3 linked regions of the Saccharomyces cerevisiae S288C genome follow. The main gene of each other region encodes a partner of the protein of the gene in region 2 in a complex. Each region holds a gene or a part of one and is shown on either strand. Other genes may lie near its edges. A codon is read from its position in the direction of its gene.

What was found.
Region 1: the proteins of SUI2 (region 2) and GCD2 are in contact, whole or in part, in a cryo-EM structure (PDB 6I7T), measured with the Saccharomyces cerevisiae proteins. Residues at the interface, in NP_012540.3 of Saccharomyces cerevisiae: Arg57 (codon at 1,789), Ser58 (codon at 1,792), Ile59 (codon at 1,795), Gln60 (codon at 1,798), Leu62 (codon at 1,804), Ile63 (codon at 1,807), Lys67 (codon at 1,819); in NP_011597.1 of Saccharomyces cerevisiae: Lys376 (codon at 2,637), Glu377 (codon at 2,640), Lys378 (codon at 2,643), Leu381 (codon at 2,652), Ala382 (codon at 2,655), Gln384 (codon at 2,661), Leu385 (codon at 2,664), Glu631 (codon at 3,402), Phe632 (codon at 3,405), Glu646 (codon at 3,447), Tyr647 (codon at 3,450), Ala651 (codon at 3,462).
Region 3: the proteins of SUI2 (region 2) and GCN3 are in contact, whole or in part, in a cryo-EM structure (PDB 6I3M), measured with the Saccharomyces cerevisiae proteins. Residues at the interface, in NP_012540.3 of Saccharomyces cerevisiae: Glu29 (codon at 1,705), Met30 (codon at 1,708), Tyr33 (codon at 1,717), Met45 (codon at 1,753), Leu47 (codon at 1,759), Leu48 (codon at 1,762), Ser49 (codon at 1,765), Glu50 (codon at 1,768), Arg53 (codon at 1,777), Arg55 (codon at 1,783), Ile56 (codon at 1,786), Arg57 (codon at 1,789), Ser58 (codon at 1,792), Lys61 (codon at 1,801), Arg75 (codon at 1,843), Asp77 (codon at 1,849), Tyr82 (codon at 1,864), Ile83 (codon at 1,867), Asp84 (codon at 1,870), Arg88 (codon at 1,882); in NP_012951.1 of Saccharomyces cerevisiae: Pro39 (codon at 1,926), Glu40 (codon at 1,929), Thr41 (codon at 1,932), Ala42 (codon at 1,935), Ala43 (codon at 1,938), Glu44 (codon at 1,941), Ile46 (codon at 1,947), Asn47 (codon at 1,950), Lys50 (codon at 1,959), Met74 (codon at 2,031), Leu78 (codon at 2,043), Leu81 (codon at 2,052), His82 (codon at 2,055), Tyr84 (codon at 2,061), Asp86 (codon at 2,067), Trp87 (codon at 2,070), Arg238 (codon at 2,523), Asp305 (codon at 2,724).

What each region holds. Positions count from the first base shown.
Region 1 is NC_001139.9:644,360-648,326, reverse strand, and holds GCD2 (translation initiation factor eIF2B subunit delta), read left to right. Parts: upstream 1-1,511; coding exon 1,512-3,467; downstream 3,468-3,967. Other genes in the region: mitochondrial 37S ribosomal protein mS44 MRP13, read left to right, coding at 185-1,204; TOM complex receptor protein TOM20, read right to left, coding at 3,732-3,967. UniProt on the Saccharomyces cerevisiae protein: Acts as a component of the translation initiation factor 2B (eIF2B) complex, which catalyzes the exchange of GDP for GTP on the eukaryotic initiation factor 2 (eIF2) complex gamma subunit.
Region 2 is NC_001142.9:449,400-452,619, forward strand, and holds SUI2 (translation initiation factor eIF2 subunit alpha), read left to right. Parts: upstream 1-1,620; coding exon 1,621-2,535; downstream 2,536-3,220. Other genes in the region: DNA-directed DNA polymerase delta subunit POL31, read left to right, coding at 1-1,266; MHO1 (Mho1p), read left to right, coding at 3,031-3,220. UniProt on the Saccharomyces cerevisiae protein: eIF-2 functions in the early steps of protein synthesis by forming a ternary complex with GTP and initiator tRNA. This complex binds to a 40S ribosomal subunit, followed by mRNA binding to form a 43S pre-initiation complex.
Region 3 is NC_001143.9:488,002-491,466, reverse strand, and holds GCN3 (translation initiation factor eIF2B subunit alpha), read left to right. Parts: upstream 1-1,811; coding exon 1,812-2,729; downstream 2,730-3,465. Other genes in the region: BCH2 (Bch2p), read right to left, coding at 1-103; RPC37 (DNA-directed RNA polymerase III subunit C37), read right to left, coding at 2,849-3,465. UniProt on the Saccharomyces cerevisiae protein: Acts as a component of the translation initiation factor 2B (eIF2B) complex, which catalyzes the exchange of GDP for GTP on the eukaryotic initiation factor 2 (eIF2) complex gamma subunit.

The sequences.
Region 1 (3,967 bases), on a different chromosome or scaffold from region 2:
AAATATCCCAAAAATATCATATATCCTCATCACATTTGCAAGTCTAGCGCTTCGATGCGTTGTGAACACTTTGTCAATGTATTTAGTTGTATTCATACCCAATTTATTGGCACTTATTTGATACTCACCATGCAGGGTAATAGAAAATGTGCTGAAAAAAAGCTAAACCTTTCTTATTAAGAAAATGGGAACCATAACAGTGGTGATTAATGAGGGACCAATACTGTTGATAAGGGCATTGCACCGAGCAACGACCAACAAGAAAATGTTCAGAAGTACAGTTTGGAGACGTTTTGCATCTACCGGCGAAATTGCGAAAGCAAAGCTGGATGAATTCTTGATATACCACAAGACAGATGCGAAACTAAAACCATTCATTTACCGTCCCAAGAATGCTCAGATATTGTTAACTAAAGATATTAGGGATCCAAAAACAAGGGAACCATTACAACCGAGACCTCCCGTAAAGCCACTGTCGAAGCAAACGTTAAATGATTTTATTTATTCGGTTGAACCCAACTCGACAGAACTACTAGATTGGTTCAAAGAATGGACAGGGACCTCCATAAGAAAGCGCGCTATTTGGACGTACATCTCACCAATTCATGTTCAAAAGATGTTGACTGCGTCATTTTTCAAAATCGGTAAATATGCGCACATGGTAGGACTCTTATATGGTATTGAGCACAAGTTTCTCAAAGCGCAAAATCCATCCGTATTTGATATCGAGCATTTTTTTAATACTAATATCATGTGTGCTTTGCATCGAAATAGGTTGAAAGACTATAAAGATGCAGAAATTGCTCAGAGGAAACTGCAGGTTGCTTGGAAAAAGGTATTAAATAGAAAAAATAATACTGGACTAGCAAATATTCTTGTTGCAACATTAGGTAGACAGATTGGATTTACCCCAGAGCTGACGGGCTTGCAACCTGTAGATATTAGTTTACCAGATATCCCCAATTCATCAAGTGGCGCGGAACTAAAGGACTTGCTAAGCAAATACGAGGGGATATACCTTATTGCAAGAACATTATTGGACATCGATCAACACAATGCTCAATATCTAGAATTGCAAGAATTTATACGCCAATATCAAAATGCATTAAGTGAATCCAGCGATCCATACGACACGCATTTGAAAGCGTTGGGACTGTTGGAAACACCACCTCCTCAGGAATCCACCGAAAAAGAGGAAAAATAGTACCAAAACACCCCATAGGAAATATATAAATAAACATACCTGTAAATACTAAAAAGTAGAACACAGTTCGTCACATATATTGCTATTATTGTATTAATTATGTTTATATTTACCCGGGAATCTCTTCACAATTTTCAGTACCTCTCGCTTTTTTCCAATTTTTCAATTTTTTTTTTTCGAGTTTAGTGAAAATGAGTATTCTACAACAAGGCATCACCAGCTATAGATAATCAGCGTAAGTGCATAAGATCTTATTTTCACCACGTAAGAAATACGTTGTCAAAGAAGCGTCGATAATCAAATTGCTATGAGCGAATCGGAAGCCAAATCTAGGTCGGCTACACCGCCAAGTAAAGCTAAACAAGCTACTCCAACAACTACAGCTGCAGCTAATGGAGAAAAGAAATTAACAAACAAGGAGCTAAAAGAACTAAAGAAACAAGAAAAAGCTGCAAAGAGAGCTGCAATGAAGCAGGCTAATGGTATATCCATTGAACAACAGCAACAACAAGCACAAATGAAAAAAGAGAAGAAACAACTACAACGTGAGCAACAACAGAAAAGAGAGCAAAAGCAAAAAAATGCCAATAAAAAAAAACAAAATGAACGAAACGTGAAAAAGAGCACACTTTTTGGTCATCTGGAAACTACTGAAGAAAGAAGAGCGACAATTTTAGCTTTAACCAGTGCAGTATCATCTCCAAAAACTTCGCGAATCACCGCTGCTGGGTTGATGGTCCCCGTGGTGGCTAGTGCATTATCAGGATCTAACGTATTAACGGCTTCTTCCTTGATGCCCGTGGGTCCAAACGCGTCGTCTACTGTATCTGCATCAGCTCCAGCTTCAACAACAACGACTCTTCCTGCCTCTTCTGCAGCACTCTCTGCCGGTACCAGTTCTGCGTCAACAAATACTCCAACAGCTATACAACAAGAGATTGCTTCATCAAACGCTTCTGATGTTGCCAAGACATTGGCATCTATCTCGTTAGAGGCTGGTGAGTTTAATGTCATTCCCGGTATATCGTCAGTGATCCCTACCGTGTTAGAACAATCATTTGACAACTCCAGCTTGATATCGTCTGTTAAGGAACTTTTATTGAATAAAGACCTTATCCATCCGTCGATATTATTATTAACTTCTCATCTAGCACACTATAAAATCGTGGGATCCATCCCACGTTGCATAGCCATGCTAGAGGTTTTCCAAATTGTTATCAAAGACTATCAAACACCTAAGGGAACTACCTTGTCACGTAACTTAACAAGTTATTTGTCACACCAGATTGATCTTTTGAAAAAAGCTAGACCTTTAAGTGTTACTATGGGTAATGCTATCAGATGGTTAAAGCAAGAAATTTCATTAATTGACCCATCTACCCCCGACAAAGCCGCCAAAAAAGACCTTTGTGAGAAAATTGGGCAGTTTGCTAAAGAAAAAATCGAACTGGCTGATCAACTAATTATAGACAATGCCTCTACACAAATTGAAGAATCTACTACTATTGTGACATATGGTTCATCAAAGGTTCTAACTGAACTGTTACTGCATAATGCAATCAGTTTAAAGAAAAACATCAAAGTGATTGTCGTCGATTCGAGACCACTATTTGAAGGGCGGAAAATGGCAGAAACTTTAAGAAATGCTGGTGTCAATGTTATGTATGCACTTATTACAAGTTTGGATACGATATTCAATATGGATGTGGACTATGTGTTTTTAGGAGCCCATTCTATCCTATCTAATGGGTTCCTATATTCAAGAGCTGGGACAGCAATGTTGGCTATGAGCGCTAAGAGAAGAAATATACCTGTATTAGTCTGCTGCGAAAGTTTGAAGTTTTCACAAAGAGTACAATTGGATAGTGTCACATTTAATGAACTGGCAGATCCAAATGACCTGGTTAATATAGATTACGAAAATCCAGTCGAGAGACGCGGTAATAAAGGTGCGTTATTAAACCAATTTATCAAAGAAAGAAAATTTGAAAAGAAAAAGCTAGCAATGGAGAATAAGCCAAAGGGTAATAAAATTGGCGGTAAGAAAGGATCTGAAGGAGAAAGCAAGGACGCCAGTAATGAAGAAGACAGCAACAGCAAAAATATTTTGGATGGTTGGCAAGAGTTACCTTCGTTAAATATTGTCAACATCTTATACGATTTAACACCACCAGAATATATTAAAAAAGTGATCACTGAATTCGGCGCTTTGCCACCTTCATCTGTCCCTGTTATTTTAAGAGAGTACAAAGGTTCCGCATAAGCATATACAACATTCGTTAATGGTCGTCCACGTGTGTATACTACATATATATTATATATATATATATATATACATATATATATATATTACACCTAATACGATGAAAAAATACATCTAATGAAAAGAATTGTTTTTATCCTTAGCTTTCCAAAAAGCTTGGTATATATAACAAGATTTAGGCTAGAGAAATGATGTAATTATATAGGGCTATATACAGAGTAAAAGAAACAAAAACGGAGAAAAAAAGCAAGCAAAATGTTACTCTCAGTCATCGATATCGTTAGCTTCAGCAACCGCATCAGATTCGGCCTTGCTTCCAACAACTCCTTTAACGAAAGAAGCCACATTAGCAGGAGGCAAGATGGCAATCATTAATATAATATATTCGTAAATGGCTTCAGGAATGGATCTTTGGTAAATTCCCAATAAATCGGCTGGCTGAGGGTATACAGTCAATGCTTTATAAAACTTAGAGGCTGCTTCCAGTTCCTTACCTTGTT
Region 2 (3,220 bases):
CGCGTCTTAAAAGAATGTGACAAGAGATGGGATGCGGGCTTTACCTTGAATGGCCAATTAGTTCTAAAAAAGGACAAAGTGTTAGATATTCAGGGAAACCAACCATGTTGGTGCGTAGGATCCATATATTGCGAGATGAAATATAAACCAAACGTACTGGACGAAGTGATCAATGATACATATGGTGCACCAGATTTAACTAAAAGTTATACTGATAAAGAGGGTGGTTCTGATGAAATTATGCTCGAAGATGAAAGTGGGAGAGTGCTTCTAGTGGGAGATTTTATTCGGTCTACACCCTTCATCACGGGTGTTGTTGTAGGTATACTGGGTATGGAAGCTGAAGCCGGGACATTTCAAGTTTTAGACATATGCTACCCCACTCCTTTACCACAAAATCCTTTCCCTGCACCAATTGCTACCTGCCCCACCAGGGGAAAAATTGCTCTTGTTTCTGGGTTAAACCTCAATAATACATCACCTGATAGGCTATTGAGATTGGAGATTTTGAGAGAATTTTTGATGGGGAGAATCAATAACAAAATTGACGACATTTCTCTAATTGGTAGATTACTGATATGCGGCAACTCTGTTGACTTCGACATTAAAAGCGTGAACAAAGACGAATTGATGATTTCTCTAACTGAGTTCAGTAAATTTCTACACAACATTTTGCCATCTATATCTGTTGATATTATGCCCGGAACCAATGATCCAAGTGACAAATCTCTACCGCAACAGCCTTTCCACAAATCATTGTTTGATAAGTCCCTAGAATCATACTTCAACGGTTCTAACAAAGAAATTTTGAATTTAGTGACCAACCCATATGAGTTTAGCTATAATGGCGTAGACGTTCTAGCCGTTTCAGGCAAAAATATCAATGATATTTGTAAATACGTAATACCATCAAATGATAACGGAGAAAGTGAAAACAAGGTCGAGGAGGGCGAGAGTAATGATTTCAAAGACGATATAGAGCATCGCCTGGACCTTATGGAATGTACAATGAAATGGCAAAACATCGCGCCCACCGCACCTGATACCTTATGGTGTTATCCGTACACTGATAAGGATCCATTTGTATTGGATAAGTGGCCCCACGTTTACATTGTGGCAAACCAGCCATATTTTGGAACAAGAGTAGTGGAAATAGGTGGTAAGAACATAAAGATAATATCTGTCCCTGAATTCAGTTCTACTGGGATGATAATATTACTGGATTTGGAAACGTTAGAAGCAGAGACGGTCAAGATTGACATTTAAATAAAACAAGGAATAATTTCCACATAGATATGCAATTAAGTTTTATATGTAAAAGTGAGCATTCATCGTTCAGCTCAAAATACGTTTCTTGTCACAGCTGGTAGAAAAACTATGAGCGTTTTTTCTTACCCGCAGTCGGAGAAAAATTTTTTCTTCGAAGAGGCGAAAAAGAGAAGAAGAGAAAGCACAAATCTGATGAAATAGTAGTATAAAATCGCATTTACAAATTTTCAACCATTGTTTATTTCCTAGGTCATTAAAGAGTAAAGTGCAATCTGTTTACTAATCAGTTTTTGTCTTCATATTTTTGTGTCTTTTCTGCTGCCTCACGCACCTTCTATAATACACCAAATAATGTCCACTTCTCATTGCAGATTTTATGAAAACAAATACCCAGAAATTGACGATATCGTCATGGTTAACGTCCAGCAGATTGCTGAAATGGGTGCTTATGTTAAATTGTTAGAATATGACAACATTGAAGGTATGATTCTACTAAGTGAATTGTCCCGTAGACGTATTAGGTCAATCCAAAAATTAATTCGTGTTGGTAAAAATGATGTCGCCGTTGTTCTTCGTGTCGACAAAGAAAAAGGTTATATTGATTTGTCCAAACGTCGTGTTTCTTCTGAAGATATCATTAAATGTGAAGAAAAATACCAAAAATCTAAGACTGTTCATTCCATTTTAAGATACTGTGCCGAAAAATTCCAAATCCCTTTGGAAGAACTATATAAGACCATTGCTTGGCCATTAAGTCGAAAATTTGGTCACGCTTACGAAGCTTTCAAACTATCCATCATTGACGAAACTGTTTGGGAAGGTATTGAACCGCCATCAAAAGATGTTTTAGATGAATTAAAGAACTATATCTCCAAGAGATTAACACCACAAGCTGTAAAGATTAGAGCCGATGTTGAAGTGTCTTGTTTTAGTTACGAAGGTATCGATGCCATTAAAGACGCATTAAAATCAGCTGAAGACATGTCCACAGAACAAATGCAAGTTAAAGTTAAATTAGTCGCCGCCCCATTATATGTTTTGACCACCCAAGCCTTGGATAAGCAAAAAGGTATTGAACAACTGGAAAGCGCTATTGAAAAAATTACAGAGGTTATTACAAAATACGGCGGTGTTTGCAACATTACCATGCCACCAAAGGCTGTCACTGCTACTGAAGACGCTGAGTTACAAGCTCTATTAGAAAGCAAAGAATTAGATAATAGATCTGACTCTGAAGACGATGAGGATGAGTCAGACGACGAGTAATCATTGCCGCGCCTAATTTTTCTAGGTGTTTTCAAGTGTCATACTGTTTTAGAAAATTTTGTATAGAACAAATACGTATATCCTGCCATATCATATTCTTTGCAATATACACCTTGTACATTTGGCTATTATAAATATTACAATCCATTTAATCATAATCAAAATTTAATTTCTGTTACCACGGGGTTGTCAGTGGAGCATGCCCTGCCGGTTCTCTATAATTTATCTTTTTCACATGAGATATTTTTACCTCAAAAGGTAGTGATGCTGTAATAATATGAGGCTCCCCCCTTTCCTTCGGAATTGCATTTAAATCATTGGGGAACACTAAGACAAGACAAAGGGGCCGTCCACTCATGTGATTTTCAACAAAACAGATAACATGCGGATACACACTGATATATTTTCAAAGGAAAGTCTGACTGATACTTAAGTGAAGTGGTCCTAGTCGGTGGCTTAGGTGGACTACAGTGCAAAGAATAGAATTTTTCAAACATGTCAATACGTCCAGCAACACATGCAGGCTCATGGTATTCCAATAGAGCCCAAGAATTATCTCAACAACTGCATACATACTTGATCAAAAGTACCCTTAAAGGCCCAATTCACAACGCCAGAATTATCATATGTCCTCATGCCGGTTACAGGTATTGTGGACCCACTATGGCCTACTCGTACGCATCGT
Region 3 (3,465 bases), on a different chromosome or scaffold from region 2:
TTGGTTTCACACGTTGCTGTGGAACAACACCTGACGGAAGAGAACCTGCAGCCTTTTTATTCTTGCCTTTCTTGGACTTTGTAGACCCCCATAAAAAACTCATATTCCTCGAGGCCAATTGATCTGTTAACTGTACTTTACTACTTATACTACTTGATATATATGCCCTTTCTTTGCACACAATGTCTCTTTATTGCCGTTTGTCATTTTGTTTTTTTTATTTTTATGTTGAATTTAGATACACCATTGTGCATACATCTTATTTTTCCCAAACGGTGTAACAATGCCTCGGAAACCTGATGACGAATTGCTAAAATAATACGGCATTGTACGGCACCAGGACTGGCAACGTAGCATTTCCAATATTATAATATTTTTACTCAATAACTGAAAAGATAATAAGAAAATTATAAAAGTAAAAAAATTCTTCCCCGCCAGGACTTGAACCTGGAATCTTCTGGTTCGTAGCCAGACGCCGTGACCATTGGGCCACGAGGAACAAGAATTATTAAGAGACATTAAAAATTGAGAACCCTAAGTATCAGCACTATTTATTGCATGATTTTTTACCTAATATAGTAGTTCAAATTACCAGACCCAACTAATCCTGCTCTAAGAAGTAAGAAATGTGTGAATTTTGAAATAATTGTTGGGTTCCATTGTGAATAAAAGCTATCATTGAGAAATGTTTGAATAATATGATAATTACTGGTGTTCCATTATTGTTGAAGGCTATGATACACAATATACTAAAAGTTCTCTTCGAGGATATTAGAAATGCGGAAGAAGGAATCGGTATTCATGAATAGTAATGTTATTGTCTCGTTTTTTTACTTTATATGCTTATTCTTTATCTTGTTACGTTATCAATGCTTGCATTTCAGCTTCTATTATATTTAATAACCGTTTCTCATTCTTAATGTCATCTTCTTACACTGTGTATGAGAACATACTGCTAATTTGTGTGCTAGTGCATAGATGGTAGTTAATTCTTATTCAGACAAAAAGTTTTAGTATCTGATCTGTTGTTAAACATGTTAGATAAGTATTTTTTGGAATAAAGATCCACTATCGTATATTGGCTAGCGGTCGTGACACTAATATGTTATTACATACTGCATAAATAGAATACACAAATCGTGAGGTACAGTCATCCAATGTTGTGGAAGTCGATACTCAAGACCTAAAGAAAAATAAAATTTCTGAATGAAAAACATAACGATAGTAAAAATGAGCGGTATGTTATGACATAGGAGATAGAAGAACAAAACTGATCTGATCAAATTATTTTAAGAATATTTTACTAGTATGTTTACTACATGACAATCTGCAGCAGTGCCAGCTACATGGTGATCTCTCCAAAACAGACCAAACAATTTGCGCTTGTATTGCTTTTCAAAATAAAACTAAACATATGTAATTGTGCTTACAAGAATTGCTAGCTATATCTTATGTTGGTAATAGATAACGATTAGTAATACCTTTTATGAGAAAGAATAAGGAGGCAATGCCATCATTTTCGCCACATTAAGAGTGCACGACTCTATCCAGGGAATTTGATACAACACAGCAACATTGTCGCCATATTTAAAGCTTTCTACATAGCATAATGTTTTTTTTTTTTTACAATAGATAAATTTCATCCGGAAGAAAAATGAAAAAAAAATGAAAAAATTGGTGAAGTTTATGGTGTAAAATGAGAATCATACTGCTCAAATAGTGACAAAGCCATCATTAATCATAGATTTCTTCATAGTAATTGATAGAAAGAATTTTAAAAGTCCTACGTATACCAGAAATCGAGAGGAAGGATGTCGGAGTTTAATATTACAGAAACTTATCTAAGGTTTTTAGAAGAAGATACTGAGATGACAATGCCGATTGCTGCCATTGAAGCATTGGTCACGCTATTAAGAATAAAAACACCAGAAACAGCGGCAGAAATGATTAATACAATAAAAAGCTCCACGGAAGAACTTATTAAATCCATTCCGAACTCAGTTTCCCTGAGAGCCGGTTGTGATATTTTCATGAGATTTGTCTTAAGAAATCTTCATTTATACGGTGATTGGGAAAACTGTAAACAACATTTGATTGAAAATGGCCAGCTTTTTGTATCGAGAGCCAAAAAATCGCGTAACAAGATTGCAGAAATAGGGGTGGATTTCATAGCTGATGATGATATCATCTTGGTACATGGTTATTCGAGAGCAGTATTTTCTTTATTAAATCATGCAGCAAATAAGTTTATTAGGTTCAGATGTGTGGTGACAGAATCAAGACCTAGCAAACAAGGGAACCAGCTATATACTTTACTTGAACAAAAGGGCATACCCGTGACTCTTATTGTCGATAGCGCGGTTGGAGCGGTAATCGATAAGGTTGACAAAGTGTTCGTTGGTGCTGAGGGTGTTGCTGAATCAGGTGGTATTATAAATCTCGTGGGTACCTATTCAGTGGGTGTTTTAGCACATAATGCAAGAAAACCATTCTATGTGGTCACTGAAAGTCACAAATTTGTTCGTATGTTTCCATTGTCTTCAGATGATCTACCTATGGCCGGCCCTCCTTTGGATTTCACACGTCGTACGGACGATCTAGAAGATGCATTGCGTGGGCCCACGATCGACTATACCGCCCAAGAATACATTACTGCATTGATTACAGATTTAGGGGTCCTCACTCCAAGTGCCGTTTCAGAAGAGTTAATCAAGATGTGGTATGATTAAAAAAAATCACATAATATATGCACGCAATGACTTAATAGAAAAGGAGAAAAAGCGCAAGAGCATCCTTTATGTGAAACTGATGTCTGATGCTGTTCTTTCTTCATGATGCATTATGTACTTCAAACTAGATTATCTATATAGTCTTCTTGTTTCTCTAAGGCTACTAAAGTTTTATCTTCAGCTTCTTTCACGATAGTATCTTTGAACTGTTCAAACGTGCCTTCTGCCCAGGTCAATTCAATATTAGCCTCTTCATCGGCGACTTTATGTGCCAGCAGGGAGCCAGTGAGTCTGTTTTGCGAAGGGTCGTTGACGCTCTTTACAGACATGGTAACCACTTGAGCGCGTTGTGATGAAGGATTAGGGTTCCTTCTGGCGTCCTCTTGCTTTCTTGTTACATTTGCGTCGTCGATATATTTGAAAAATGGCTTCAATTGTGCTACCCTCTCAATAGGTACCAAATAAACCTGCATATCTTTGACAAATGCTGCATATTGGCCATTGTTTTCCACACCCACGCCTTTTAATGTTTGGACATTAACCCCATTCCATTCGCTCTCAGCCTTATCCTTGTTATAGAAGGCCTGCTCATCCAAAGGAATATCTATTTCCCATAGGTGCGACTTGGGTTTATATCTTGCTGCAGAGATAAACGGATGCTCAGCAGGTTTGCGTCCTACTAGCCTTGGTCTATTAGCATACTGAAACACGTGCAGTGACTCCTCTTCTCCGGAGA